Linked DNA regions of Elephas maximus indicus. The protein of the gene in region 4 interacts with the protein of the main gene of each other region in a pairwise test. Links are inferred from orthologs where the notes say so. Each region holds a gene or a part of one and is shown on either strand. Other genes may lie near its edges.

Evidence for each region.
Region 1: the proteins of RGS20 (region 4) and FASLG interact in binary tests that used the Homo sapiens proteins (3 or more experiments, as listed by UniProt). The two-hybrid records come from large-scale screens. The link is inferred for Elephas maximus indicus from reciprocal best matches to the Homo sapiens genes RGS20 and FASLG.
Region 2: the proteins of RGS20 (region 4) and OTX1 interact in binary tests that used the Homo sapiens proteins (3 or more experiments, as listed by UniProt). The two-hybrid records come from large-scale screens. The link is inferred for Elephas maximus indicus from reciprocal best matches to the Homo sapiens genes RGS20 and OTX1.
Region 3: the proteins of RGS20 (region 4) and GLRX3 interact in binary tests that used the Homo sapiens proteins (3 or more experiments, as listed by UniProt). The link is inferred for Elephas maximus indicus from reciprocal best matches to the Homo sapiens genes RGS20 and GLRX3.

The regions. Positions count from the first base shown.
Region 1 is NC_064821.1:210,464,826-210,472,157, reverse strand, and holds the start of FASLG (tumor necrosis factor ligand superfamily member 6), read left to right. Parts: upstream 1-4,332; 5' UTR 4,333-4,430; coding exon 4,431-4,766; intron 4,767-5,347; coding exon 5,348-5,393; intron 5,394-7,332. UniProt on the Homo sapiens protein: Cytokine that binds to TNFRSF6/FAS, a receptor that transduces the apoptotic signal into cells. Involved in cytotoxic T-cell-mediated apoptosis, natural killer cell-mediated apoptosis and in T-cell development.
Region 2 is NC_064835.1:73,744,872-73,752,169, reverse strand, and holds the start of OTX1 (homeobox protein OTX1), read left to right. Parts: upstream 1-4,283; 5' UTR 4,284-4,368; intron 4,369-4,736; 5' UTR 4,737-4,805; intron 4,806-6,376; exon of another isoform or gene 6,377-6,414; 5' UTR 6,415-6,525; coding exon 6,526-6,622; intron 6,623-7,298. UniProt on the Homo sapiens protein: Probably plays a role in the development of the brain and the sense organs. Can bind to the BCD target sequence (BTS): 5'-TCTAATCCC-3'.
Region 3 is NC_064834.1:80,051,835-80,059,746, forward strand, and holds the start of GLRX3 (glutaredoxin-3), read left to right. Parts: upstream 1-4,899; 5' UTR 4,900-4,942; coding exon 4,943-5,031; intron 5,032-7,912. UniProt on the Homo sapiens protein: Together with BOLA2, acts as a cytosolic iron-sulfur (Fe-S) cluster assembly factor that facilitates [2Fe-2S] cluster insertion into a subset of cytosolic proteins.
Region 4 is NC_064833.1:86,221,021-86,228,735, reverse strand, and holds the start of RGS20 (regulator of G-protein signaling 20), read left to right. Parts: upstream 1-4,714; coding exon 4,715-4,863; intron 4,864-6,726; coding exon 6,727-6,745; intron 6,746-7,715. UniProt on the Homo sapiens protein: Inhibits signal transduction by increasing the GTPase activity of G protein alpha subunits thereby driving them into their inactive GDP-bound form.

The DNA.
Region 1 (7,332 bases), on a different chromosome or scaffold from region 4:
GCACTAATCCAAAAACACAAAATGATAAATGTTGGAGAGATTGTGGAGAGATTGAAACACTTATATACTGCTGGTAGGAGTGTAAAATGGTACAACCACTTTGGAAGTTGATTTGATGCTTCCTTAAAAAGCTAGAAGTACCATAGAAAAATAAGAGCACTCACACAAATAGATATATGCACACTCACGCTCATTGCAGCAACGTTCACAACAGCAAAAAGGTGGAAACAACCTAGGTGCCCATCAAACAATGAATGGATAAACAAATTATGGTATATTCACACAATAGAATACTATGCAACAATGAAGAACAATGATGAATCTGCAAAACATCTAATAACATGGATGAATCTGGAAGGCATTATGCTGGTTGAAATTAGTAAGTCACAAAAGGACAAATATTGTATGAGACCACTATTATAAAAACTCCAGAAAATGTTTAAACACAGAAGAAAACATTCTTTGATGGTTAAGGGTGGAAGTAGAGAAGAATTATCTTAGGCGGACAACACACTGTTCAGGGGAAGTCAGCACAACTGGACTAGACCAAAAGCTAAGGAATTTCCTGAATATGACCAAACACTTCGAGGAACAGAATAGCACTGGTGGGGATCTGGGGAACCATGGTTTCAGGGGACTTCTAGGTCAATTGGCATAACAAAGTTTATTAAGAAAATGTCCTGCATCCCGCTTTGGTGAGTGGTGTCTGTGGTCTTAAAACTAGTGAGTGGCCACCTAAGATGCATCAGTTGATCCCGACCAACCTGGAGTAAAGGAGAATGAAGAACACCAAAGACACAAGGAAAATATTAGCCCAAGAAACAAAAAGGGCCACATAAATCAGAGACTCCATTAGCCTGAGACCAGAAGAACTAGATGGTGCCTGGCTACCACCAATGAACACCCTAATAGGGAGTACAACAAAGAGTCCCTGATGGAGCAGGAAAAAAGTAGGGTGCAGAACTCAAATTCTAGTAAAAAAACCAGAATTAATGGTCCGACTGAGACTGGAGGGACCCCAGAAGACAAGGCCCCAGGACTCTCTGTTAACCCAGAACTAAAACCATTCCCAAAGCCAACACTGGACTATAAGACATAAAATGATACTCATGAAGAGTGCGCTTCTTAGGTCAAGTAGATACATGAGACTGATGGGCAGCTCCTATTCAGAGGTCAGATGAGAAGGTAGAAAGGAATAGGAGCTTTTTGAATGGACATGGGAAATCCGGGGTGGAAAGGAGGAGTGTGCTGACATATTATAGGGATAGCAACTTGGGTCACATAACAATGTGTGCATAAATTTTTATATGAGAAACTAACTTGAGCTGTAAACTTACACTTAAAGCACAATTAAAAAAAAAAGAACAAACAATTTTAGCATAACATAGTTTATAAGGAAAATGTTCTACATTCTACATTGGTGAGTAGCCTCTGGGGTCTTAAAGAAAAGATTATTTTTCCTAATTAGCAGTGTTCTAGTAGTGCCTCGAACTGTGAAGGGGTCTTTATTGTGCTGAGGGGTATGTGTTTTTTCCCCCATGATTTGGCTAAATGTGATGTTTGGCGGCATTACCAAAGAGGGACACAAGTGTTTAAAGCCTGCTCTCCTTGTCTCTATTTCAGTTCAGATTGTCCCTAAGCTTGGGGGACAGTGGGTGTGTCAGGGGCAGGGATGGGGCTTCTGAGTCCTCCTAGAACAATATGAATCAAGAGAAGAAGCAGGGCCGAGGAAGATGTACAAATACAGCATAGTTCTTATTGGAGAATCGTGGAAGTTTGAGATAAAAAGCGGAGGGTCCTAGCCTGAGGCAGAGGGTCCCGCAGTCCAGCGGTGGAATCTCTGAGAGATATTAGATGTCAAGCACAGAATTTGTGCTTTTCTCTGCAGCCCTTCTCCTCCCTACCAACTGGTTTATTCTTAACAGAAGAAGGTCAATTCCATTGTCTGTAGTTGAATTATTTGGGAGAGATCTGATAAACTAACAACAACTAACATTTCTTGAGGGCTTACTTTGTTGCCGGAGTCCACGGGTTGTGCGATAGCTAAGCGTTTGAAAACCTACTAACGGAAGGGTTGGTGGGTCGAGTCCACCCAGAGGAGCCTCTGAAGAAAGACTTAGTGATCTACTTCTGAAAAATCAGCCGTTGGAAACCCTATGCACAGTTCTACTTTGAAACACATGGGGTGGCCACAAGCCTAAAAGACTTGATGGCAACAGTTTTTATTTATGTATTTTTGGTTTCACCTTGTTGCCAGGGACTCTTCTAAAGGTATCTTATACTTTGACTCATTTAATCCCCACAGAGCCTTGTAAGGTAAGTACTATTATGATCATGCACATTTGGGGGATGAGGAAACTGAGGCACAGAAAATAGAAAGCGACCTGTCCAAATCACAGAGATAATAAGTGATGGAGCTGGAAGCTGCACCCAGGCAGTTTAACTCCAGGGCCCATTCTTACCCATCATGCAATACTACCTCTCTATCCTCCCACCCAGGATGTAGTCTATTTTTCCATGTATTTGCATCTTTGCCATTTTCAGTAAAATTTTGTAATTTTTAAAATATACACCTGTATAATTCTTGTTAGAGTTATTTTAGTATATTTTAAGGGCTTTTTATGAGTGTGGTAGAATTCTTAAAATTATATTTTCTAGCTAATTATTATTTAAACTTACTGTCTTAGTTTTTTCTCAGTCTGTCTTAGTTATCTAGTGCTGCTATAACAGAAATACCACAAGTGGATTGCTTTAACAAACAGAAATTTATTCTCTCACAGTTTAGGAGGCTAGAAGGCCGAACTCAGAGCACCAGCTCAGGGAGAGGGATTTCTTTCTCTGTTTATCTTCCCCTGGGTGTAGGAGTTTTCTCAGCACAAGGACCTCAGGTCCAAAGGACACGCTCTACTCTTGGCTCTTCTTTCTTGGTGTTAGGAGGTCCCTCTCTCTCTGCTCCTCTCTCTCACCTCTTATCTCTTACAAGATAAAAGATGATGCAGGCCATACCCCAAGAAAACTCCCCTTATTGGATTGAGGGCTGTAACCTGAGTAAGGGTGTTACATCCCACCCTAATCCTCTTTAACTTAAACTAATCTTGCCTCATTAACTACAGGCAAAGATTAGGATTTAAAACACATAGGAAAAGTACATCAGATCACAAAATTGAGGATAAGCACAGAATACCAGGAATCATGGCTTAGCCAAGTTGACCCATATTTAGGGGAGACACAATTCAATCCATGACACTGCCTTTAATGACTACAACCAAAGCCACATGTGAGTTCAAGAATTAAATTTGAATTTCAAATAAGCAACCTTTTTTTTAGTATGTTTCATACAATATTTGAGGCATACTTATACTAAAAATTATTCATTATTTATCTGAAATTCAAATTTAACTGAGTGTCCTGTGTTTTACCTGGCAACCCTAAAAGGAGCTGCAAACAGAAATTCCTACAGTGGTCAGGAAGCCATTTCCCACATGTGGTGGTGTGTGACACATAGTCGGGGGTGGGGACCCTGGGTGACCTGGAGCTTCAGGGCTCTGTCCACGTGGGCAGCTGCTACCCAGCTCACACCAACTGGGTTTGCAGAGATGGTCTTGAGTGTGCCCAGTCTTCTAATGTTTCAAGACAGAATTAAAACCTGTATTTTTGATGTGGAATCTCCTGATTTTAAAGGTAGACAGCCAATTAGAAGAAAAACATTGTGAGGTACAAATGAAACAGGCCTGTGGGTTCTGTAAGGCCTACGGGCCACAGGTTTGCAACTTCTGATCTAATCTCTAGATAGTGGGTGGGGCAGGGTTTTTTCTCCTGTAAATTCTGGTGTTTTGCAATGTCAGGGTAAACAGTATTTGGGTTAGGGGAAGGGATGGCAGCTCATGCAAAAGGTAAGATGTGGAAGTGGTTCCTCTGGCCACAACTCAATGGTCTCTCCCCTCAGTGCTTGAAAGCGCCCCGCTGGCCAACCTCTCTGCAGTTAGGCAGCAGGTTATGCCCACCAGGCTGGCCCCTGATTCTTACCTGCTCCAGCAGGTCTGAGAAAGAGGAGCCTAACCTACCAGCCTTTTCAGGTAGCAAAGCAACAGCAACTGGGACTTTGAATGCTTTCGTCAGAAAATTGTGGGTAGAAGCTTACAGCGGTTTACCCTGAGCTCCTTGAGGCTTTCAACTTCAGGCGCAAATTGCTCCGAGCTCCTTGAGGCTTCTCAGCTTCAGACGTAAAGTGAGTGGGTGTTTCTCTGAGAAACAGAAAGAGATCGAGAGAAGTGTTTCCCTTAGCTGTGGAAACTCTATAAAGAGAGCTCCGGCTTCCCTTTTCTTGAGCACTTAGCAACAGGAGTCCCCTCCTCTGACACCTCAGCCTACACAGGATCGAGAAGAAGTAAAATTCTTTGCCTGGAGGGTGCCCTGAGTTCCTGGCTGCCATGTGGCAGCCACTGAATTACCCATATCCCCAAATCTACTGGGTGGACAGCAGCTCCAGCTCTCCTTTGGCCCCTCCAGGGTCTGCTCTCCCCTGCCCTTCCTCTGTGCCTGGAAGACCCGGCCAAATGAGGCCACCACCACCCCCACCGCCACCGCTGCCACCACGGCCACCACTGCCTCCATTCCCACCATCACTTCTGAAGAAGAGACGGAATCCCAACACAGGCCTATATCTCCTCGTAATGTTTTTCATGGTTCTGGTGGCCCTGGTTGGACTGGGGCTGGGGTTGTTCCAGCTCTTCCACCTGCAGAAGGAGCTGGCTGAACTCAGAGAGGTAAGCCTGGCCTGAGGGGGGCTGCGTGCTGGGCTCACCAAGACAGCTCTGTGCAGTGGGGGCCGAGGACCACTGTGGCCCACTGCTTTCTTTGCCAAGTGCTTCTCAATCTTTTTTTTCCTCTCTTGGAAATGGGTTATTACGCTCATTCCATTCTACAGGCAGAGAAATAGAGAGCCATACATGTGAGGGGATTTTTTTTTTCCTCTGTCTTATAAAGGATCAGGGCCAAGATAGGATTAGCATTTACAATTCCTTTCTCAGTTGGCTAATCAGTCTGCCTAGCTATTTACTGCCTAACACCTAGTGAGTCAAAAAATAAAATAAACATTGATTCTTGCTTAGAAGTGGATTAGTTCAAATGGCCAAACTAAATCTCCTTGAAAATCCTTTAAAAATACTAGTACTATTCCAAATCACAAAACTGAGCTAGAAAGGGCACAACTGCTTGGCAAAAGTCTGAGATCAGAGAGATTCTGAGGTATTTGGGTTCTCTTTCCAGGGCTTGGTTTTTTTTGACAATCCTGCCTCCTTTGCCTAAAGGTCTTCATATTTATTACATATCTTTTCTCTTTTGCCAGTCCACCCGCCTAAGCCCTGTAGCATCATCTCTGGAGAAGCAAATAGGTGAGTCCTTTTATGTACATACATTGAATTCTCAAAGATAGTCCTCAACACTAAACAATGTTGGTGCAGTGGCTTGCAATCCTTCTCATTCCTGGGCATGTATATACTACGAGAGGGAGCCCGGCTAATTCCAAACCTCTGGTCATTACGGTTTATTCTGCTACTTTAAAATATGAAGTGAATTTAATTGTTCAAAATCAGTGTAGCTGAGTACTGTACAGAATTCAAAATAACTTGTACTTGACCTTGGATGGAGACACACACACACCCTGAACTTTTGCCTCCTGAACTGCTGGCTCCAGGCCTGTCCCCTTCCTCAGGCCTCCTGAGTCCGGTGCCCATGGCAGTGATTGTAACTCCCAGGGAGACAGAGTGGGGTGGAGACAGAGAAGGTGTTTCTGGGAAATGTTCTTTCCTTTTTAAACTTTCTAAAAGAGATTACTCAAGAGTCAAACTCTATTTTAAAAAAATATTTTATAAACTAAACTCAGCTTGTAATAACAGTACAGCCAATCACCTTCATTAGGATGGTTCTTCTGGAATGACTGGAAAGTTTAGGGAAGCCTAGCAACTATTCAAAGGAAAGTCCAGCTTCACACCTAGAAGCAGTCATGTGCTCATATCCTTTGTATGAGACTCAGGACAGGAAGAAGGTAAAGTTGTTGAACAGTGACCTCATGAAGCTTCAGGCCATAGTTTTTGAAGTGCTGAACAGATAGATTTTTAGGATATTCCCAATCTGTCTTAAACTAAGATTCATTGAACTCATAAGATTTGGTTAGAGTTGAAAGGGAGCTTAGAGCTTATTTGATCCAGCTCATTTTCCAGAAAAGAAACAAAATACCAGACAGATTAGGTGATATTCCCAAGACCACTGACATGGACCTCAGACTAGAGGAAACAAAGCTTTTGACGCTTCGTCACCTGTGGGGCCTTCCAGCATGCGGACTGGTGCCTCATAGGATAAGGAAAAGCCTGTCTCTCTGATGGCCATGGAATGAGAAATAAGAGGAAAGGCAGGATGCCTCTGCAAGTAGGCACATCTCATCCCTGGAAACCGAGCAGAACACAGAAGGCAGAGCTGGCCAGCCATTCGGTGGAGCGTGCTTGGGTTCTTAGGGGGTGCCTACTACAGGCAGCCCAGGTACCTTGCTGTCCTCGGTTGTAAGTTCTTGCAGGAGCAGGTGCTCTGGAACCCAGTTCTGGGTCAGAGCCCCTAAGTGTTAGAAAGTCCAGACATACACAAGCAGAGAGGAAATATTTGTTAGAAAAATGAAGACTTTGGAAGACTTCTAGAAGGAAGTAGCTTTGAAAACCAGTGGAATGGGGCTGGTGAAGAAGGCGCCTTATTACTCATCTCTCACCTACTCAGTGGAGTCATTTTAGTGAGGAAAAGTCAAACGAACAGATGACTCAGGTCTACCTACCCCAGGAAACATGTATCTTCTCTAGATTGACCCAGGTCAACCTGAAATGGGTGAAATATCACATGGAAATCAAGGTAGTAACTTTATCAGTAGGATAAGAAATTCAAATGGAGATAGGGGATACCTATTTTCATACATCAAATTGGTAAAGATTTAAAAAAAAAAAAAAGGATAATACCCAGATTGGCAAAGAGATGAGAGAAAAGGGCTTCCTTCAACATTAGTTGACAACCAGTGGCAATATAAATTGCTATAATTTTTCTGAAGAACAGTTTGGAAAAAGATATCAATAACCTAAAAGTGTTAACTTACCTTGAAATCAACGCAATATGAATTTGTCTTGAGAAAATAATCAAAGACATGCCTGGAGATTTATATAGAAGGAAGAAACCTCATGCCTTATAACAGAAGAGTAGTTAAATATAGTGAATTTAGATGAGAGAATACTATGCAGCAACTAAAAACTGTATGTTAGAAGGACATTTAATGCCACAGGGACTGCTATTGCATAT
Region 2 (7,298 bases), on a different chromosome or scaffold from region 4:
ATGTGGAAAATGGATCTCTGGAACGCAGTGCAGGCTGTATTTGGAGGTGAGTAAGTTTACACCATCCCAAAGGGGCCCTGCTGACATATGAATTCGAATTGAACAGCAATTAGTCATATTTTCTTAAGCAGTGTAAACTATCATCCAGAAAAAGGGTCATCTCTTTTATTAAAGATTGCAGGAAATATGTGATTCCACATCACTGAAAAATGGTAACATCTTGATGAATTTTCCATGTTATTCTTTCAGTTGTTACAGTATTGCACTCCTGTTACTAGGTCTTCTGATAATAGGCAAGTCTGTAGGAGCTGTAAAAGGAAAAGGGTGATTGTAGGGGAAGTGGGGTGGGGTATTGTGTGCAGGTGTGTGTGTGTATGAGATGAGGGAAAATGAACTTTTAACAAGAAGTACAGGCTACAGGGGAAAAAAATGGTGATTCTATGGTAGTTTCCAGTCACTCCTCTACAGAGAGGTTCCAAACAAAGAAAGCTGTTCAACAAGTCTGGAGATTTAAAGAAAACAGTCCGCTAGCATTTAGCCTTTAAAAAAAAATGTATATATATATATATATATATATATATACACACACACACATATATATACATACACAGAAACATATACACACACATATATATTCACAGACACACACAAAACTGTATTCGAAAAGTATGCAGTTGTCTCCAATTGCTAGTCTTTCAAAATGACAAAAACTTGCCGCGGTAAAATTCCTTCAAGCAAAGGATTTTAGGAAAAGTTATGGAAAAGTTATCGGCGTTAAGTGACATCGTGTATTTGCGCCCCCCCCCCCCCAGCAGGAGAGCACAGCTAGCTGCAGCTCTCTGGGGGAAGCTTTCAGAAACGCTCTCTAACCCCAGGGAAGGATGCCACACAGAAATCGCCCGACCCGAGCAGCCTGAGGCTCGGGTGGCCAGCGTCACCCACCCGGTTTACTACGGATTCGGGCACCATTCACCCCTGAAGGGCCTTTCCGAGAGGCGGACCCCCTTAGCCGCGCCCGACCTACCAAGTGCCAAACCTTCCCTAGCCCTGTATTTGCTAGGGTGGTAGGGGCGGGCGTGCGGACCCGCTCCCGGCCCCTCCTGACCCGGTCCCGAGCCTCGCAGGGCTCCCATTTGGGCTGCTTAGTGGCGCCTGCACGCCCCGTAGCGGCAGCAGAGCGCGGACCCCGGGATTGTGGGGTCAGGCCCCGGGCTAGGGCGCCTCGTCCGGACTTGGCTGCGTCCGGCCGGGCGCCGGCTCCGGGCCGCGGGCGCGGACCCAGGACGCCGAGGGGCTGGGAACCCGAAAGCCCGCGCTGCAGGAAGAGAGGCAGTGGGCTCGGAGGTCGCAGCGGAGGAGGAGCATTGGCGGTGGGCTGGTTAGGGCACAGCCCGCGGGCAGCTGCGGAAATTCCGCCCCTGGCCAGGATCCCTCGGCCCCGAAGCCAAACCTCTCCGCTTGCTTTAAGTGTCCTTCAGAGCCTGGCCGGGCCTCGAGGTCACCTGGGCGCGGGATCCGGGCCCCGGGGCCCAGCTTTATCGCCTCCTCCCCGGCCCGGAGGCCTTGAGCTGGGTCCGCTTCCCCTCCCCCGGCGCTGTCTCCGCGGTGCGGCCGTTGCTGGAACGGTCGCAGATTCTGGCCCGGTGTCTCCCACCTGGACATTTGCCTAGCGACGGCCGCCTCAGCCCTCTGCACAGCGTACAAGAAACTTTCCTCTCTCTCCCTTTACGCTCTCCTCCCTCTCCCCTCTCCTCTCTCTCTTTTTCTTCTCTTAATCCCGGGGTTTTATGGGCTGAGCATTAAGAAAATTCGCCTGCAATTTGGGATTAGATAAATACTCTTATGGGGGGGGGGGGAATTCCATGCTACTTGATACCTCCCGACTTTCCTGAGACGGGTGGCAGCATCTGGAGCCGAAAGCGTCGGACTCCCGCTCGGCGGGCCCTGGGGACCGCGCGACACATTCCAGCGCGCACCGCCTCCCCATTTTGCCGGGCTGGTCCTGGACCAAGGCTCCGGCTGCCGGCGAAACAGGGCCCGGAGGAGCAGGAGACGGAGAGATTGCGGCACTGGGGCAAGGGCACGCACTCCGGCGCAGGCAGGCCAACCCGGGCACACAGCGCGCAGGCCCGGGTGGCTGCTCCGGGCTACGGATGCGGACGCCGCCGGCGCGCGCTCCTGGACGCTTGCACACTTCCCCCACCTCCAAACTAGTGAGCTCCAGCCAGCGCCTTGCCCCGGAACTGGGGGCGGGGGTGTCTTTCGTTTCTTTCTTTAACTCTCAGCACCATCTCCCGGGCTCCGATACCGGGGCTGCTGACTGCAGGCCGCACGGGCTGCCCCTGGCGGGGGCCTGCGCAAGCCTGAGTGTGTCCGCTCCGGGGGCCAACGATGCGCTCAGCGCAGTTTCTTTTCCCCTTAAAGCTTCCCCCCGCCCCCCGCATCATGTTTTTCCTTTCCCCTCGTTCTTTTATTCTGCTTTCCCTCTCTCTCGCTTTCTCTCCCTTTTGTGAATGGGCAGCGGTGTCTTTGTTCTGGAGAGAAGCGCCCGTGTCGCTGACTTTTGTGAACCAGAGAAGGATCTTGTAAAACCTCCTTTTCTCCTTCGTACTCCCCCACTCCCGCCCCTCCTTCCCTGCCCCTTTGATTAGATGTTCCTTCATCGTCAAAAAAAAAAAATGTAATTTCGTTGGTCTGGCGGCCACTTTCTTTGAACATTAGCTCGCTTTCAGCTCCAACTTCAATTAGAAGGAGTTGATTTTGAGAGATCAACAAAAGAACCGACCAAAGCCTTATTAAGGTCCTAAGAAGATCTCCCGGGTTCTTTGAGAAGCAGTTAAGGAAACAGTGTGCCCTCCATCATATTCTGTTACCGTATTTTATTCGGACTCCAAAGGAAAGTGTCGCTTGGGGGGAGGGGGAAGCACTTTGATGAGCTGCAGCCGCGGCCTCTTTTCACTCAGTGGGCTGCCCTTCCTCCTCCTCCTCGCCCAGCCCCCGGGCTGATGACGGTGCCGGACTCGGCGCCCCGGCCGTGTCGGCGCTCCCGAGCCATGCGCCTATCGGCTCCGTGACTCGCCCTCACACTTAACTGCTGCTCAAACTTTTCCCTCCGCCTGCTGGGGTGGGGGGATTAGAAAGAAGGGATGGGAATTCCTCGAAAGGAAATAAAGTCGTGCCTAGTATTCAGAAGGTGGTGCCATTGAAAACAACTGGCTTGTTCAAGGCTGGGGGCGAAAACGCTTTTTCTGCTTTGAAAAATCCACCAAGGTGGATGGGTAGGAGTTTGTTCGACTGGGAAATAGGCTTCGCCAGTAGGAACAACCCGGGAAAATCGCTTCAAGGAGGCTACTTCCGGGGCAGGTGGAAAAGAAGTTGAGGACAAGGGCCTGTGGCCACGTTTTGACCAGACTGTCCCTGGTAGCTGAAAATGGGAAAGAAGAGCAAGACAGAGTGGGAAAGAGAAAGTTTCCTATCAAAATCTTTCGATTCAGAAGAAGCGTGTGTGTGTGAGGGGGAAGGGACGCTGGGCTGGAACGTTTCAGAAGAAGCGTTTAGAATCTAAAAACACCCTTCGGGGAACAGGGCACGCCGAGAAGCAGGTAGGTTGCGGTGTCTCCCTTGCGGGTGCCATTTCCCAGCGCAGAAGTCTTGAGGCGCCGAGAAGGCATCTGCGCGCTGGGAGCTGCTCCCGCGCTCTGCAAAGTTGCCGGAGCCGGCACGAGCCGCCCGCGGCGTCCGCAAGCAGGTGACGGCGCTGGGAAGGAGACGCTGGGGCCCGCGCAGCCGCCAGAGGGGCCTGGGGCCCACGCTCCTCGAGTCCGCGGCCCCTGAGTCCTCGCGCCCATACCCGGGCCGCCGAGCCGGGTGAGCGCGCGGGAGAGCGAAGAAACCGGTTCTCCAGCACCTCGCCGCCACTCCCTCGGCCGCGCCGCGAAGGCGGGAGAGGGGGGAGAGGGGCGGGGGCCCCGGGCCAGGCCTCGGGACCCGCGCCCCTCTGCGGCCGGGGCTCCGGCGTTGCGCTCTCCTCGTTCGCCTGGCTTTGCGCGGCGTTTGGCAGTCGAGCCCCGGACTTAGCGCGCCACCGGGGCGGGGCGGGGCGGGGCGGGGCGGGCGGGCGGGTGGGGACAGCGGGGTGCAGGGGGCGGGGGAGGGCGGGGGCGCGCGGAGGTAACCCTCGGCTCGAGCTGCCATTGCCCGGCTCCCTGTCACTCAGCCCGCGCGGGGCCCCCGATTGGCGGCCTAGCCCCGTTACGCACTCGCCTCGCGTTCACATACTCGGGGAGGGCAGTAGAAAGGTGATCAATCTTCATCTGGCTACATTTCCAATCACCTAAACAACCGAGAAAGACAAGCCACTGCGACAAGGTAAATCGCTTGATTTATTTAGTTTACAAAGTGTCTGTTCAAGAATTCCCCAGCCCCTACCGCCTCCCTCCTGTACCAGGAGTGCAGCAACAACCGCGAGCCTCCTCCCAACTCTGTCCCTCGCACCCCCTCACCTCCTCCCTGCGGCCCTACAGCTCGATCCCCGGCGAGGCAGTGTCCCAGGAGCGTGTAGGGTTTTGCCAACAAAGTGTCTGTACAATAAAATGAAACTTGGAGGGACACACATAAAGCCACTGGGAGGGAAGAAAGAGATGGGAAGAGGGAAACTGGAGAAAGAAAGAAATCGGGGGTCCCAGACCAGCCTCGTCCAGTCCGGCGGGTAATTCCTGCGCCCCTCTGTTTTGCAGGTTGGCTGCCCGGAGGGTCTCGTTGAGGGCGCGAGGTAGATGGTGAGCGGCCGCGACAACTGAGGGCAGGTAAGGAGAAAGCCCAGGGGCCTCCCGGGACGCGGGGAGCGCGTCGGTTGCTCTTGCTTCCACCTCTTCAACTGGGTTCCGGCTTCCACAGGTCCTGGGCTGGGGGGCGGGGCTGGGGGGAATCGGCCTGGCGCCCCTCTTGGTGCGTGGAGGACCCCAGAGCGCGACTACAGTCCGGCGCTCCCGCCCGCCCAGTCTCCCCCGCCTCCTCCGAAGTGAGCGAGCTGAAGTGCTAAGTTTGGAGAAAGTCTTTGAATACACTGCAGCAGCCTAACAGAGCCGCGGTGGCTGGAGTCCCGTTCTCCCTGGGCCCAAGAACCCAGGCTGTTTCTCCTCCTCTCCTTCCCTGTAAACCCAGGCCGCAAGTCCCGGAGGACCGGGGCAAGGGCTTCTTTAGCTCTAACTTCTGTCCCTGAACTTCCTAGCCCAGCTTCCAAGGCCCGCTTTAGAGAGTTCCTGCGAAGCGGGATGAAGCGACAGGGCCCCTGGGCTCCAGCCCCACTCCTAGCGCCCCTTCCTGACCCCTGACACTAGAGCCTCGGGTTTGGGAAGCTGCGGAAACGAGGCTTCAACCTTCCAGTTAGGGGCTCGCGGGTTATGCCTCTGAGGCCTAGTTTTTTAGTTTCGGTCAGGTCCCGGGGCCGCGGGGTCCAGGGAGCAGGATAGGCAGGGGAGCTCAGGGGATCGGCTACATCCAGGCCTCCCAAATCCCCGAGGTCTTTTGGAGCGCCGAGCCGGTCACGCTTCAGCCTCATCCCGGGCCCCGTTGTCAGCAACAGGACCCAGCAGAAAGAAGGCCCGGCCCGCACCTCGGAAGAAGGGCCCGAGGCTCCGGCAGAGGCACCCGCCACCTCAGGCCGCGTCTTGCAACCACCACCTCTACGGTGGCCCCTTTTGCGTCTTTTGGTTGTGTCTGGGAGATCTGGGCCAGTAACTGCGCTTGAGGTGTGGTGGGATTCTGGGTGAGAGATCTTTCAGGGACTAGGCACAAAGGTCATCTGGAGGGGTGGCTGCGGACGGTGGGGCCGGGCCCCAGCTGCGGAAACCTTTAAAGAAACGAAGCCTCCCAAGTGGGCTCCGCGTCCAGAAGAGGCCAGGGGCGCCGGCCCTCCGCAGTGCTTCACCTCGGCCCTCGGGAGTGTCTACCTTTTCTTCCCGCTTTCAAGACATTAGAAACAAAACAGAATAACCCTTCATGTTCTGGGCAGCCTGCGGCCAGGGGCTGAATGAACGTTTGGTTGTTCAGCATGAGGCCGGCTCCCGCCGGACTCAAAATTTTGCTCAGGCTTAGGACCCTGCTTCCCCCTTGTTGAGGGCTTAGACCTCCCCAGCCCGGCCAGGCTTTTAACCTCTCCTCACTCCCAGCTCCGCCCTACGAGTGTCTTTCGCCTATTCTAAGCCCCAAGAGAGGCATGGAGACTCAGGAAAGTTCATTTTTCAAAAAAAGCTGTGGTCTCTGGATTTAGGCCTTATGGAGCTGAGTTGACCGCGGCGCTGTGCAGTCCCGGAGCCTGTGCACCCTCCCCATCCCGAGGTTTCTGACCTCGGACAGTACCTGGGAGCCAGGGTGGCTTGGATTGACGGTTACCATGTGTGTCATGTCTCCTAGGCCGGGCCCCCAGACGCAACAGAGCTCAAAGGATTGCGCGGTGGGAAGCCCGCACCGCGCCAGGCCCCCGGCCCCCTGGATCCGTCGGGGCGCCTCCACCCGGCTGTTAGCATGATGTCTTACCTCAAACAACCCCCATATGGCATGAACGGGCTGGGCCTAGCCGGGCCGGCCATGGACCTGCTGCACCCCTCCGTGGGCTATCCGGGTGAGCACCGGCCCTCCCAGCCCCTCCGCCCTTGCAAACGTTAGGGATCCTCAGTCTCTCGGGTCTGAGGCAGCCTGTTGCCGAGTAGGCCCAGGTAACCGATTGCCTAGTCTGCTTTCAATGCAAAGCTGGCTGCAGGCGCAGACAACAGAGTCAGGGGTGGGTGAGATGGACCAGGGCAGTGAAAAGGTGCAGCAATCGCCCTTCCAGCCCAACCGTGGGGGCAACCTGTCTACTGTTGTGCTCCCATCGCCCACACAGTGCATTTACCCACGGATTCGTTTCCCACGGGTGGCTATTACTTTTGTGGATCTAATCACTTTTTTCCCCCAGCAACGAATGAGAAATCTGAAGTCCCAGTGAGCTCTAACGGAAAGAGCTTGGCCCTAAGGCCTAACTTCCCTTATGTGAACATGCAGGCTGAGTTGAGGAAGGGTGGCCCTCCCCTGGACCTGTGGCTTGTACCAACTCTTCCACTGCTGAAGCTGACGGCTTGAGCCGAACCCTGGGTTTCTTTTCCAGTTTCCACTACTGCACCCCCATTTATTCTCTGAGTGTTTTCAGATCGTGTTTCTATACACCCTTCTCCCACCCCCAGCCAGCGTGTGTGTCGAGTGGAGGGGATGTGGAGGAAGGGAGATTACCTGACTTCTCTCCCTTTTTTAACTTTTGGGAG
Region 3 (7,912 bases), on a different chromosome or scaffold from region 4:
CATATGCAAGTTCAAGCTGAAACTGAAGAAAATCAGAGCAAGTCCACGAGAGCCAAAATATGACCTTGAGTATATCCCACCTGAATTTAGAGACCATCTCAAGAATAGATTTGACGCATTGAACACTAGTGACCGAAGACCAGATGAGTTGTGGAATGACATCAAGGACATCATCCATGAAGAAAACAAGAGGTCACCGAGAAGACAGGAAAGAAAGAAAAGACCAAGATGGATGTCAGAGGAGACTCTGAAACTTGCTCTTGAGCGTCGAGCAGCTAAAGCAAAAGGAAGAATTGATGAAGTAAAAAAAGGGCCTCTCGAGAAGACAAAGTAAATTATTATAATCACATGTGCAAAGAGCTGGAGATGGAAAACCAAAAGGGAAGAACATGCTCGGTGTTTCTCAAGCTGAAAGAACTGAAGAAAAAATTCAAGCCTCGAGTTGCAACAGTGAAGGATTCCATGGAGAAAATATTAAACGATGCAGGAAGCATCAAAAGAAGATGGAAGGAATACACACAGTCATTATACCAAAACGAATTAGTAGATATTCAACCATTTCAAGAGGTGGCATATGATCAGGAACCGATAGTACTGAAGGAAGAAGTCCAAGCTGCTCTGAAGGCATTGGCGAAAAACAAGGCTCCAGGAACTGATGGAATATCAATTGAGATGTTTCAACAAACAGATGCAGCGCTGGAGGTGCTCACTCGTCTATGCCAAGAAATATGGAAGACAGCTTCCTGGCCAACTGAGTGGAAGAGATCCATATTTATGCCTATTCCCAAGAAAGGTGATCCAACCGAATGTGGAAATTATAGAACAATATCATTAATATCATACGCAAGCAAAATTTTGCTGAAGGTCATTCAAAAACGGCTGCAGCAGTATATCGACAGGGAACTGCCAGAAATTCAGGCTGGTTTCTGGGACCGGGGATATCATTGCTGATGTCAGATGGATCCTGGCTGAAAGCAGAGAATACCAGAAGGATGTTTACCTGTGTTTTGTTGACTATGCTAAGGCATTCGACTGTGTGGATCATGACAAACTATGGATAACACTGCGAAGAATGGGAATTCCAGAACACTTAATTGTGCTCCTGAGGAACTTTTACATAGATCAAGAGGCAGTTGTTCAGACAGAACAAGGGGATACTGATTGGTTTAAAGTCAGGAAAGGTGTGCGTTAGGGTTGTATTCTTTCACCATACCTATTTAATCTGTATGCTGAACAAATAATCCGAGAAGCTGGACTATATGAAGAAGAATGGGGAATCAGGATTGGAGGAAGACTCATTAACAACCTGCGTTATGCAGATGACACAACCTTGCTTGCTGAAAGTGAAGACAACTCAAAGCACTTACTAATGAAGATCAAAGACCACAGCCTTCAGTATGGATTACACCTCAACATAAAGAAAACAAAAATCCTCACAACTGGACCAATAAGCAACATCATGATAAATGAAGAAAAGATTGAAGTTGTCAAGGATTTCATTTTACTTGGTTCCACAATCAACAGCCATGGAAGCAGCAGTCAAGAAATCAAAAGATGCATTGCATTGGGTAAATCTGCCGCAAAGGACCTCTTCAAAGTGTTGAAGAGCAAAGATGTCACCTTGAAGACTAAGATGTGCCTGACCCAAGCCATGGTATTTTCAATCGCATAATATGCATGTGAAAACTGGACAATGAATAAGGAAGACCGAAGAAGAGTTGACGCCTTTGAATTGCGGTGCTGGCGAAGAATTTTGAATATACCGTGGACTGCCAAAAGAACGAACAAATCTGTCTTGGAAGAAGTGCGGCCAGAATGCTCCTTAGAGGGAAGGATGGCAAGACTGCGTCTTACATACTTTGGACTTACTGTCAGGAGGGATCAGTCCCTGGAGAAGGACATCATGCTCGGCAGAGTACAGGGTCAGCGGAAAAGAGGAAGACTCTCAACGAGGGGGATTGACACAGTGGCTGCAACAATGAGCTCAAGCGTAACAACGGATGGCGCAGGACCGGGCAGCGTTCCGTTCTGTTGTGCATAGGGTCGCTATGAGTCGGAACGGAATCGATGGCACCTAACAACAACAACGTGTTAGAGGGGTGATTACTGCTCTTCTGAAAACGACTCAAAATGGCCCATTTCCCTGGTGCATCACAATTTCAGTATATTTTTAATTACAAAGCCAATCCATGCTCTTTGAAAAAATGCAGTGACAGAAGTGCATCCTGTAAAAAGCGAAGGTCCCCCCCCATTGAACACCTTTGGCAGTCTCCCCAGTGGTAATATTTTGCAAGCTACAGAGCAATATCACCATTAGGATATTGACGTGACCTACTCGTTTTATCCAGACTTCCCCAGGTTTACTTTGCTCACTCTTGTGTGGGTGTATTTAATTCTGTGCAATTTTATCACCTGTGTGGGTTCACGTATTCTCCACTACACTCAAGAAGATACAGAACAGTTTCTCACCACAGTTCCGTTGCATTTTAAATAAGGTAATGTACCAATTTCAGTAAATCCGTTTCTCAGTGTAAGACAACCTGTAACGTGGCTCCAAAAGGCCACTTTTAATCCCTGCAGCAACACCCTCCCACAGAAAATACAAAATCCAAAAGTAAATAAATAAATAAAGTGAGCCATAAATGAAAGCCTCCATGTAATTTAAATTTTTCTAGTAACTACATTAAAAAGGTAAAAGGAGGTAAATTTAATTTTATCAATATATTTCATATAATCCAATATATTCAAAATATTATCATTTCAACATATAATCAGTATCAAAATCATAAATGAGGTATTTTACTTTTTTTATACTGAATCTTTGAATCAGTTGTATATTTTACACTTAGAGGCCCATGGCCGTCGAGTCGATTCTGACTCACAGCAACCGAGTAAGGACAGAGTAGAACTGCCTCGTGGGGTTTTGAAGTTGTAATCTTTACAGAAGCAGACTGCCACATCTGTCTTCTGTGAAGTGGCTGGTGGGTTCAAACTGCCAACCTTTTGGATAGCAGTCAAGCACTTCACCACTGCGCTACCAGGGCTCCTTCAATCTTCCTTACTTATTATCCAGCTTTAGCATCCCTCTGAGGCAAATGAAAATACAACAGCTTGGGTCACATGCACCTTAGTTCTTAAAGTGACCTCTTCGCTTTTTAACATTTTAAAGAGGCCTTTTACAGCAGATTTGCCCAATACAATACGTCACTTGGTTTCTTGACTGCCGCTTCCCTGGGCGTTGACTGTGGATCTGAGCAAAATGAAATCCTTGACAACTTCAATATTTTCTCTGTTTATCATGATGTTGCTTTTGGTTCATTTGTGAGGAGTTCTGTTTTCTCTATGTTGAGATGTAATCCATCCTGAAGGCTGTAGTCTTTGATCTTCATCAGTAAGTGCCTCAAGCCCTCTTCACTTTCAGCAAGCAAGGTTGTGTCATCTGTATATTGCAGATTGTTAATGAGTCTTCTTTCAATCTAATGCCACGTTCTTCTTCATGGAGTCCAGCTTCTCGGATTACTTGCTCAGCATACAGATTGAATAAATATGGTGAAAGGATACAACCCTGACACACAACTTTCCTGATTTTGAACCACACAGTATCCCCTTGCTCTGTTCAAATGACAGCCTCTTGGTCTTTGTATACATTCCATATGAGCACAAGTAAGTGTTCTGGAATTCCCATTCTTCCCAATGTTATCCATGATTTGTTATGAGCCACACAGGCGAATGCCTTTGCATAGTCAATAAAACAAGGTAAACATCCTTCTGGTGTTCTCTGCCTTTAGCCAGGCTCCATCTGACATCAGCAATGATATCCCTGGTTCCACGGCCTCTTCTGAATCCGGTTTGAATTTCTGATGAACAGCAGCAGAACGTTGTCTGATATAGTACTGGAAGAGGAACACATCTGGTTGGAAGACACTCAAAAGAAGACTGGGGAAGAGCTGCCTCCTCAAAGTATCAAAAAAAAAAAAAAAAAAAAAAAAGTCCGCCACCCTCAAGTCCATTCTGATTTATAGCAACAGTCTAGGACAGAGTAGAACTGCCCCATGGGGTTTCCAAGGAGCAGCTGGTCAGCAGCTGAGCTCTCAACCACCGTGCCACCAGGGCTGGGGCCTCAATGTATGGTCGACCTCAATGATGTAAAGGGAGTAAAGCTTCGGGACCTTCATTTGCGGACTTGGTACGACTCAAGATGCGAAGAAACAGCTGCAAACATCCATTAGTGATCAGAAGGTGGAATGCAGACATATGTGGTTGAATCTAGGAAAACTGAAGTCGTCAAAATTAAGTGAAATGCAAAAAGATCGCTGTCCTAGGCATGAAAAAACCCCACTGCGGTTGAGTGGATTCCGACTCAGCGATCCTAGGCATCAGAGAGCGGAAATGGACTGGTACTGGCTATTTCGAATCAATCCTACGGTCCTGTGGTCTATGCTTATAGTAGCCCTATGGCCACCATAATGGGTATCGCAGCCACATGGCTACCTGACAGTCACGACCCTTGGCATGAGGATTCCAGGTTCCCAGTGGAAACCCCTGGCCTGGGCCAGGCGCCAGCGCGGCCTCTGTCGTTTCACGATCTCGGCTGCAGAGTACAGAGACTCTGGGGCGGGGCCCGCGGGACGGAAGAGGCCTGCGGGGCGGGGCCGCGGGAGGGGCGGGGCCTGCAGGGGGCGGGGCTTGCAGGGCCGGTCCGAAGGGGACATGCGCAGGCCGGGAGGGGCGGGGCGCGAGAGACGGCGCCCTGCGGGGCAAGTCGCTCGGGAGGCGGGGCCTACCGGGCGGGTCCCGCGGGAGGCCGGCGCAGGCCGGGATGGGGCGGGTCCGGGGGCGGGTCCTGCGGGGGACGGCGATCCACCTGCGCGCAGCGAGCCGGCGTCGCGGCCCCGCCCACCGAGCCGCCCGCGCTCGATTGCTCCTGTCTGGCGGCGGCAGCATGGCGGCGGGGGCGCCCGAGGCGGCAGCCGCCGTGGTGGAGGTTGGCTCGGCCAGGCAGTTTGAGGAGCTCCTGCCCGTCAAAGCCAAGTAAGCGGGGCGGCGAGCGGCGGAAGTTAGGAGCCGTGGCGGAGGCCGTTCGCGAGGCCCGGCCCCACTGGAAGGCCTGGCCGGCTCCCTCCCGCCGTTCGGTCGCGGCCTCGGTGGACCGCCCGGCCCGCGGACGCCCCATAGTCCTCATTTGGGGTTCAGAGCTGGACGGCCCAGAGTCTGGCTTGCTTTGCCTGGGAGAGTCAGCAGTGCGGAGGCCGCCCCCCGCCCGGCCGCTGAAGTGCGGCTCCGGGGGCGCGGCCCGGCCCAATTGGCGGCCCGGGCCCGTGGACCCGACTCTCCAGCCTCGGGCCTGGCCATTCTGGGGTCACGGACGCGGTGACTCAGCTTAGCAGTCTGGGCGGGGCCGGAGACTTGGGTGGGTCCTGGAGAGCAGGGGGCGCTGAGATCCGGGTTGGGCCTGGAGCAGGGGGCTCTGAGACCCGGGCTGGGCCTGGAGGGCAGGGGGCTCTGAGACCCGGGCTGAGCCTGGAGGGCAGGGGGCTCTGAGACCCGGGCTGAGCCTGGAGGGCAGGGGCCTCTGAGACCCGGGCTGGGCCTGGAGGGCAGGGGGCTCTGAGACCCGGGCTGAGCCTGGAGGGCAGGGGGCTCTGAGACCCGGGCTGAGCCTGGAGGGCAGGGGCCTCTGAGACCCGGGCTGGGCCTGGAGGGCAGGGGCCTCTGAGACCCGGGCTGGGCCTGGAGGGCAGGGGGTCTGAGACCCGCGCTGGGCCTGGAGGGCAGGGGGTCTGAGACCCGCGCTGGGCCTGGAGGGCAGGGGGCGCGGAGACTCGCGCTGGGCCTTGGGGTGCGAGGGGTTATGAGACCTGGGCTGTGCCAGAAGGGCAGGGTCCTAGAGACCTGGTCTGAGCCAGGAGGCGGGGGAGGGGGGGGGGCGCGCGGAGACCCCAGCTGGGCCTGCAGGGCAGTGGGCCATGAGATCCGGGCTGGGCCTGGAGGGCAGGGGCTCGGAGACTCGCGCTGGGCCTTGCGGGGCGAGGGGTTATGAGACCTGGGCCGGGCCTGGAGGGCGGGGGACGCTGAGACCCGGACAGGGCATGAAAGGTGGGGGATGCAGAGACCCCCCGCTGGCCCTGGGTAGGGGGTGGGGGCGGATGGGGAGGGCGGGGGTCGGAGACCTCAGCTGGGCCTGGAGAGCGGGGAATGCGTCAGTGGGGACCCCAAGCCCGTGGGTCCGACCTCTCTGTGCAGACTGTAATCGGACAGGTCGCACTTGTCTGTACTGTCTCTTAGCGTCACTTTGTAGAACGTACCTGTCACCAGGAAAAGCAACCAATCAAGCCGTACCAGGGTTAGGCAGTTCTGTCTTCATTTTAAAATTATATTTTAAAGTTTGTTGGTACTCAGGTTGCCACAGGCAGGGATTTCCTGTTTCCTGAATCAGTGTAGTCCGAGTTGGCTCAGGTTGGCCCACGTGCTTCTTGCCCTTGAGAAGACTACAAAGGGATGCCCTGAAAACGTTTTTGGATAAATGGAAGCTCTGAACTATATGCATGCTTGCAGGTAGATGCTTGCAGGGGTGAATGCTTACAAGTAAATGCTTACAGGAATGCCGATGAGCGCTCCTTAGTAACAGTGCCACCTCAGCTCTAGAGCCCTGGAAGGACTGAGTTCAGATGGAAGCTCTAGTGTCAGATTGCGTGGGACCAGATTCCCAACGTGGCCAGTTACCAGGCATTATGGGACCGCTGGGCCAGTTTCATAAGCAAGCGTCAGTTTCCTAAGCGGTAGAATGGTTTAGAGTAGTACCTACCTCCTAGGGTTGTGTGAGGATTAAACAAGACTATGACTGTAAAATACCTAGCTCGTTCGTTGTCTGGCATGCTGAAAGCACGTGGAGATGTTGACTGTTACTGTTTTCAGTATGGAGCGGAGTGCCTGCATGGAGTTCACAGGCCATAAATGCTTAATTGATCTAAATTCAGTAGAAGTTTGTCACTGAATTTGAATTAGAAGCGGGTAGTACTTTGTGATTTTTTCAATGGAGAGTGCAGATGAGATGGGGGCTTGCCTTTGTTGAAGATGGGGAGAAGTGACAGATAACTCTTCTGGCTGGCCATGCTTTATGGAGGCAATGAAGTCCAAGTGCTAATTAAAACAGCTCTTTTGGCATTTCAGGCTTACCTGGGAAATTGTTAAACGAGGGGAAATGAGGTTTACTCATTGATGAGCACTGGACTCTGGTTCATCCTGCACTTTTCCACACAGATCTGAAGGCAGCAAAATTACGGAGGACATGAGAGGTGGCCTCTGGAAGCAAGTACAGCTTGTGTGGACCTGCCCTTGATAAACGTTTTCAATTTACCGTCACCTGACTTTGGTTTTTTTGTGTGTTTTACGTTTTTTTTATGCTTCATGTTGTAAACAATCTTTAAAATACCACAAGGGGTAAAGGCTTAAATGTAAATACCAGTTAGATGTATTCTTGCTACTGGTCTGTACTTGAAATGACCCAAAAACCCTCACACCCTTTCTGTAGTAATTAGCGTAAAAAGGCACGTGGGACACAGGATCTGGCATCTGGGGAAGGAACAATCTCTGCCTCTTGTGAAAACGTCAGCATTCAGAACATGAGGTAGTAAGTAGCCCTGGTGGAGAAGTGGTTAACAGCTACAGCTGCTAACCAAAAGGTTGGCCTTTTGAATCCGCCAGCCACTTCTTGGAAACTGTGGGGCAGTTCTCTGCCCTATAAGGTCGCTATGAGTCAGAGTCGACTTGAAGGCAACAGGTTTGGTTTGTGTTAATGTAATCATTTAAAATCTTTCCAAATCATCCCTTCTCAGTTTTAAAATTTGGTATGAATTGAAATTTTTTTTTTTTTTTTTTGCTTAAGCTATCTAATTAGATTTTATAAGTTGCT
Region 4 (7,715 bases):
ACCATAACATGCCTTTTGTATATGTTGCAAGTGAAAGAAAACAGATTAAGCTAGCTTAAGCAAATAGAAATAATATTCTTAAAGTAATACTTTTTTATTTTAGTGAGGTTATTGATCATGTCCACCACCCATCTTTCAGTTTCTCATACTGTGGTGGCTTGCGTGTTGCAGTGATGCTGGAAGCTATGCCACAGGTTTTCAAATACCAGTGAGGTCTTCTGTGGTAGACAGATTTCGTGGAGCTTCCAGAGTAAGATAGATTATAAAGAAAGACCTGGAGATCAATTTCTGAAAATTAGCCAATGAAAACACCAGGGCTTACAGCAGAATATTGTTTAGTATAGTGCTAGAAGATGATCCTCCTAGGTTGGAAGTCACTCGAAATACATAGGGGCCACAACAATGGACTTGAGCATACCCACAACTGTGAAGATGGCACAGGCCTGGGCAAAGTTTCATTCTGTAGTACACTAGGTTGCCATGAGTCAGAGACAACCCAACAGTAAATAATAATAACATTGATCACGTAAATGAAAAATCTAGGTCTTGACCATCAAAGATGGTGAATTGCTCAAGTGATGTCAGGCACTTTCTTTCTGCATCTAACTTCTGGTTCTCAGTGAGCTGGGTTTATTCTTGGCATCCTTTATCCAAGTACGGGTAAAGATATACACACCAAGAACACCACACTTATAGGCTACCAATTTAGCAGACCTAAACAAGCACTTCTTTTCTAACAGATTATCAAAAGTCCTAGGACTGACTCCATTGGGCTGGTTACACGCTTGGCATTGAGCAGTCACTGTAGGCAGAAGGATGGAATTTACCGACAGCCCATGTGTGTGTTGTGTTCACTGACCTGGAGCTGGATACAAGGTTCAAAAAAAAAAAAGAAACCAAACCCGTTGCCGTCGAGTCAATTCCGACTCATAGTGGCCTTATAGGACAGATTAGAACTGCCCTACGAAGTTTCCAAGGAGCACCTGGTAGATTCAAACTCCTAACCTTTTGGTTAGCAGCCATAGCACTTAACCAGTATGCCACCAGGGTTTCCAGGTACAGGGTCAGCCCTATCTAAGTAACAGGGACTGAGAAGGGAATAGACACATGACCCCAAAGAAAACTAGGATGCTGTTATCATAAAAAAGAAGAGGACGTGAATGGTGGATGAGGAAAAAAAAAAAGACATCCACTACATTTCACCTCTAGACAACTCAGTATTGACACACACACTTCTCTTTTTTTTCATATACAACCTTTCAAAAATGTTCCCACTTAACATATCCTACATGAAATTAAAAATGTATTCATCTTATTCCAGGGAAGACAACCTGAAGTCTTTTCCCGTATTGTGTCTGGCTCAAAGTCAAGGGTCATTTAGTGATTTGCAATCCTCGTGGTCTAGTCCACGTGTGGGTCTTTATGGCTGCCAACTCATGGTGCAGTGCTAAATCTACCACCAGCACTCTCAGCACACAATGATGGAGGAGAACAGTTTGGGTCCATGGTACACAGCCAACTCTGCCTCTTTCGTCAGTAGAACAAGTTCCTTGATCCACAAGTCTGAACTAGGACTAACTGCACCATCTCAGAGGTCTCCCTGTCCTGACAAGTCCAGTAACGGCATCTGAGATGAGCATCTGGGAGGATTTCCCTCTCTAGTTTTGAACATCTTTAGCCTCCTTCGCCTAAGGGAAGAACTTTGGTTATGATTTGCCAGTTTTAGAGTTTTTCTGATAGTTCAACTCCATTAGCACTTCACTCCATCTGCTTTCTATTCAAATCCATTTGTTTTCTATCCATCTCTTGAGCTAGTAAAGAAGTCAGAGATTTTCTAGATTAATAGCCCGCTAATCTCTTCTGCTCGGATGCTTACATGTCTTAGATACAAGCCTCTGAACTCTGTAAACTCCACTGACTGTTTAGAAAATGCCCTTTTACCTGGGGTAATGCATAACAGTGGCCTAATGTCGGGGAGACAGAGCTCTCATCTGTCAGCACGATAGGCAGCTCTTTATAGGAAATGGACCAGAAGTGCTTGGGAGGGGCCTAAGGATTCAGTTTTTTCCAGTTTCCCACATTTTCTCCTTCTTTGTTTCTAGCCATGCTCTCACTACCATGAACACTAGCTTGATCCACATTCCTTCTTCTGCATGTGGAAATCTAGTTGTCCCCGCACCATTTGTTGAAAAGGCTTCTTTCCCCATTGAATGGACTTGGCACTTTGTCAAAAATCAATTTGCCAAAGAAAGACACTTAGAAGAACACAAGGAAAAAAAAAAAAAAAAACAACCACAGCTAATACCATAGCATATACAACTGTACAACAACAGTAAAAACAAATGAAAATTTACAAGCGGATACATAAGATATTCATATATATAGTAAAGCCCAAAGGTGGCACAGTCATAAAAGCCTCCCAGACACAACCAAACATCTTGAGGAGCCAACTTACTGGTGCTGAGGGCTGAGGACCATGGTCTCAGGTAACATGTAAGTCAATTGCCATAACATAGTCCATAAAGAAAATGTTCTGCATCCTACTTTGTTGAGTAGTGTCCGGGGTCTTAAAAGCTTGCAAGTGGCCATCTAAGATACATCTATTGGTCCCATCCTATCTGGAGCAAAGGAAAATGAAGAAAACCAAAGACACAAGGAAAATATTAGTCCAAAGAACTAATAGACCACAATTACAACAGCCCCCACCAGTCTGAGCCCTGAAGAACTAGTTTCCAGCTACCACACAGACCACTCTGACAGGGATAACAACAGAGGGTCCTGGACAGAGTGGGAGAAAAATGTAGACCGAAATTCAAATTCACACACACAGAGACAAAATAGACTTACCGATCTGATAGAGACTGAAGGAAGCCCTCGGCCTATGGTCCCAGACACCCTTCTAACTCCGAGCTGAAGCTAAGCCCAAAGTTCATTTTTCCAACGAAGATTAGACAGGCCTGTAAGACAAACAACAGCACATGCGAGGAACATGCTTTTTAGATCAATGAAATACAAGAGACCAAAAGGGGTAACGCTGGCCCAAAAACAAAGATGAGAAGGCGGAAAGGGACAGGAAAACTGAACGAATGGAAACGGGGAACCTGGAGTGGAAAAGAGGAGAGCGCTGACCCATTGTGGGGATTGCAACCAATGTCATGAAATGATTTGTGTATAAACTTTTGAATGAGAAACTAATCTGCTATGTAAACTTTTATCTAAAGCACAAATTAAAAAAAAAGCAATTTGCCATATATTTTGACCAAAGACTCTACAGAAGAGTCTTGATCAAAAGGGTGAAAATGCAGAACATAATTTCAAATTCTCATGAAATCCAGACTTTCTAGAGCCATGGCGGCTGGATGAACCACCAAAATTCTTGCCCTGAGATAATTTTTAAACCTTAAACCAAAACTATCCCCTGAAGTCTTTTTAAAACCAAACAGTAGTTTATCTTAACAACTATCCTTACAGCAGTACCGTGCTCTTTTGATTACTGTGATTTTATAGTACCTTTTGAAATTGGAAAAGTGTGAACCCTCCAACTTTGTTCTTCTTTTTCCAGGGTTGTTTTATTTTGTTTTTTTGGCTTTTCTGGGTACCTTGCAATTCCATAATAATGTTATGATCAGTTTGTCCATTTCTGTAAAAAGGCAGCTAGGATTTTCATATTAATTGCTATAAATCTGTACATTAATTCGGGAGTCCCAGGCACTTCCATAAAAGAAAAATTTCTTCAGCTCACAGTCCCCAGTAATCAACAGGTGGAGCCCTTACCTTTGTGCACCTTAAACCCCACAGAGTTACTTGGCCATTAGTCACATCGTAGAGAAATGTGTTATGTGCTGTGCTTTTTTCACTCCATTTAATATTCTCATATTTATAAAGGAAACCCTGGTGGAATAGTGGTTAAGAGCTACAGCTGCTAACCAAAAGGTCAGCAGTTCAGATCTACCAGGCGCTCCTTGGAAACTCTATAGGGCAGTTCTACTCTGCCCTGTAGGGTCGCTATGAGTCGGAATTGACTCAACGGCAACGAGTTTATATTTATAAAACACTTTACAAATATAAAGTATGGTATTAGAAGCTAATTCTTGGTTTCATCATTAGGTGACTAGTTACCACATAAGAAAATCACCTTGACTAATTTTACATGATGTAAGTAAAAAAAAAAAAAAAAAAATTTTTTTTTTTTTTTTTAAGTAAAAGGCGTAACAATGCTTGGGCTTAAGTTTAGAATATGAATTTAAGATTAGTTTCTAGCTGCAAAATTGGCTGCTATTAAAATGATCTTTTAGGAAACCTAAAAAATTAGGCTGAGCATCTGCCTATCAATTGCATAGCCCAAGATTGTCAAGTACAATTTCCTCACACACATTACTAATACAGAATTTTGTCAAGCAATCTCTGTCTGTCTTTATCGTTATACCCTCAGCTGTATATCACTAGAATCAGTTACTTCAGCAGGTTTGAATTATGAATGCATTCCCGCCTTTAGGGGGCAGTCATGGTAAACCCAGACATTCAAAGTAAGAGGTTCTGCACCAGCAATGAGGACTAAAGATCTGTGGTTAAGCTACTGATCCATAAATAGATAATCCTTTTGCTTTGACTACTGCAAATTTCCAAGAAGGCTGCCAGCAGACTGAGAAATGCCTTAGCGTTAGCCAAAGGAAGAGAAAGAAAGGGAATTCTGCCCTGTTGTTTTTATTAAAACATGCCCAGCCTTTTCCAAGACAACCAAGAGGGCCTTCAGAAACACTGTTCCAGGTCATCTACGTGGAAGTTTTTGCCCTTGTTTAGGGCTGAAGGATATAATGCAACCATCCACCGAACCCCAGAACACGAAGAGGACACCAAAGCTGTGCATCACTTCAAGGTAAGATGACCTCTTTACAATCCATGATTCTTTCTTGACAAGGAGGAGGATTTATCCAGAAAGAACATAAAATCATAAACAAGCTTGAGTGCCATTGCTCACTTGATTTTACTGAAGGTTTACCACCAGGGGAAAACTATATTCGTGATGACAATTACCTGATACGTCCAGTTTTCTTCAACCTCAGCAGCGTGCGTTTATCAAGGCAAGCCGTTACTCGTTGCTTTTTTGTTTTGGGAGATGCTGTTTTTCAAAGCAGAAAACCTAGCCATAGATTGGGTGGCTATTGATATTAACCCTTGGATATTTTTCTCTGATGTAAAGATTTTATCCTATGTAGTAATGAATGAAAAAATGTATACTGCTTTTTATAAAGACTGCTAGAGAACAAAGTCAATAGACTGATACAAGAACATAAGAACATTAAGGAGTTAAGAGGATTTTTTTTTTTTTCTAAATTCCAAGTAATTCCTAAGACAGCATGACTTTCTACCATTAGACAGATGATGACCCCAAAGAGTGGCAATTTTACTGCTCAATGTAGTGTGTGTCTTGTGGAAAGCACCATTTAAGTCTGTAAATCCTCTTAGCTATTAATAGAACCAAAGGGTTATTTTGGTGTGGAGGGGGGATGCCCAGGTGTTAGTGTCTAACAAATAATGGTCAGAGCTAAAAGTTAAACGCTGCAAAATTAGACCACAGCAAAGGGTAAAGCATTCACTTTAACACTAAAAATTCATTTGCCCTTGTGCTGTGGCTCATATCCCAACGATAATCATTCTTTATTTGCAGACGCTATTTAATTCTCTTGATCTGCCTCTTCCCCTGATGTTATTTTAACTAATTGGCACAAGCAGAAAAAAAAAACAAGTTAGAAAAAATTTTTTTAATTATGTGGAGGTCTTTTATGTGTTTTTGACCTTTCAAATATACGTGAATTAACAAAGTCACATGAATTTCCATGCCACCCTTATTATCACTGTGGAAAAGAAATGCCTAATAAACTGCTTCCATAAAGATTATAGCTAAGAAAGTCCTGTGGAACAGTTCTACTCTGTAACACATGGTGTCTCCATGAATCAGGGCTTAACAACAATCAACAAACTATTATCCTATTATCAAGTAACTAAGCACTAGGACTTGAAGAAACCAGAATGAAATAGGATCTAGTGACCGAAAGTCCTTAAGTGATGGGCATCTAAATGTAGGCAAGATGTGCGCTGCTGCTGTATGGTGCTGCCGAGTTGGTTCAAATTCATCACCACCCTATTTACAAGAGAACAAAACACGGCCCGGTGCTGCACCACCCTCACAATCATTGCCGTGTTTGAGCCTGTTGTTGCGGCCGCTATGACTCTCTACCTCGTTGAAGATCTTCCTCTTTTTTGCTGACCTTCTGCTTTACCAAGCATGATGTCCTTCCTGATAACACGTCCGAAGTACATGAGACAAATCTTGCCATCCTAGCTTCTAAGGAGCATTTTGGCTGTACTTCTTCTAAGACAGATTTGTTTGTTCTTCTAGCAGCGCATGGTATGCTCAATATTCTTCGTCAACACCAAAGCTCAAAGGCATCAGCTTTTCTTCAGGCTTCTTTATCCACTGTTCAGCTTTTGCATGCATGTGAGGGGACTGAAAATATCACAGCTTGGGTCTGCCACAGCTTAGTCCTCGAAGTGACATTTTGCTTTTCAACACTTTAAAGAGGTCTTTGCAGCAGATTTTCCCAGTGCAATAGGTAGTTTGATTTCTTGACTGCTGCTTCCATGGGCATTTATTGTGGATCCAAGTAAAATTAAACCCTTCACAATTTCAACCTTTTCTTCATTTATCATGATGTTGCTCACCAGTCCAGTTGTGAAGATTTTTGTTTTCTTTATGTTGAGGTGTAATCCATACTGAAGATAGTTGTCTTTGATCTTCATCAGTAAGTGCTTCAAGCCCTCTTCGCTTTCAGCAAGCAAGGTTGTGGCATCTGCATAACACAGGTTGTTAATGAGCCTTCCTCCAACCGTGATGCCATGTTCTTCCTATAGCCCAGCTTCTCAGATTATTTGTTTAGCATACAGTTTGAATAAGTATACTGAAAGGATACAACCCTGACCCACACCTTCCCTGATTTTAAACCACACAGTATCTTCTTCTGTTCAAACAACTGCCTCTTGATCTACATACAGGTTCCTCATGAGCACAATTAAGTGTTCTGGGATTCCCATTCTTCTCAATGTTATCCATAATTTGTAATGATCCACACAGTTGAATGCCTTTGCATAGGCAGCAAAACACAAGTAAACATCTTCCTGTTATTCTCTGCTTTCAGCTAATACCCATCTGACATCAGCAATGATAGCCTTCATTCCGCATCCTCTTCTGAATCCTGCTTGAATTTCTGGCAGTTCCCTGTCAATGTACCGTGGCAACCATTTTTGAATTGTCTTCGCAAAATTTTACTTGTGTGTGATATTGATGATATTATTCGATAATTTATGCATCCTGTTGGATCACCTTTCTTTGGAATGTGCACAAATATGTATCTCTTCCAGTCGGCTGGCTAGGTAACTATCTTGCAAATTTCTTGGCATAGACGTGTAAGCACCTCCAGCGCTGCATCCATTTGTTGAAAGATTTCATTTGGTCTTCTGTCAATTCCTGGAGCCTTGTTTTTCACCAATTCCTTCCGAGCAGCTTGGACTTCTTCCTTCGATGCCGTCAGCTCTTGATCATAAGCTACTTCCTGAAATGGTTGAATGTCAACCAATTCTTTTTGGTACAATGACTTGTTATTCCTTCCATCTTCTTCCTGTATCCTTCAATATTTTGCACATAGAATCCTTCAAAA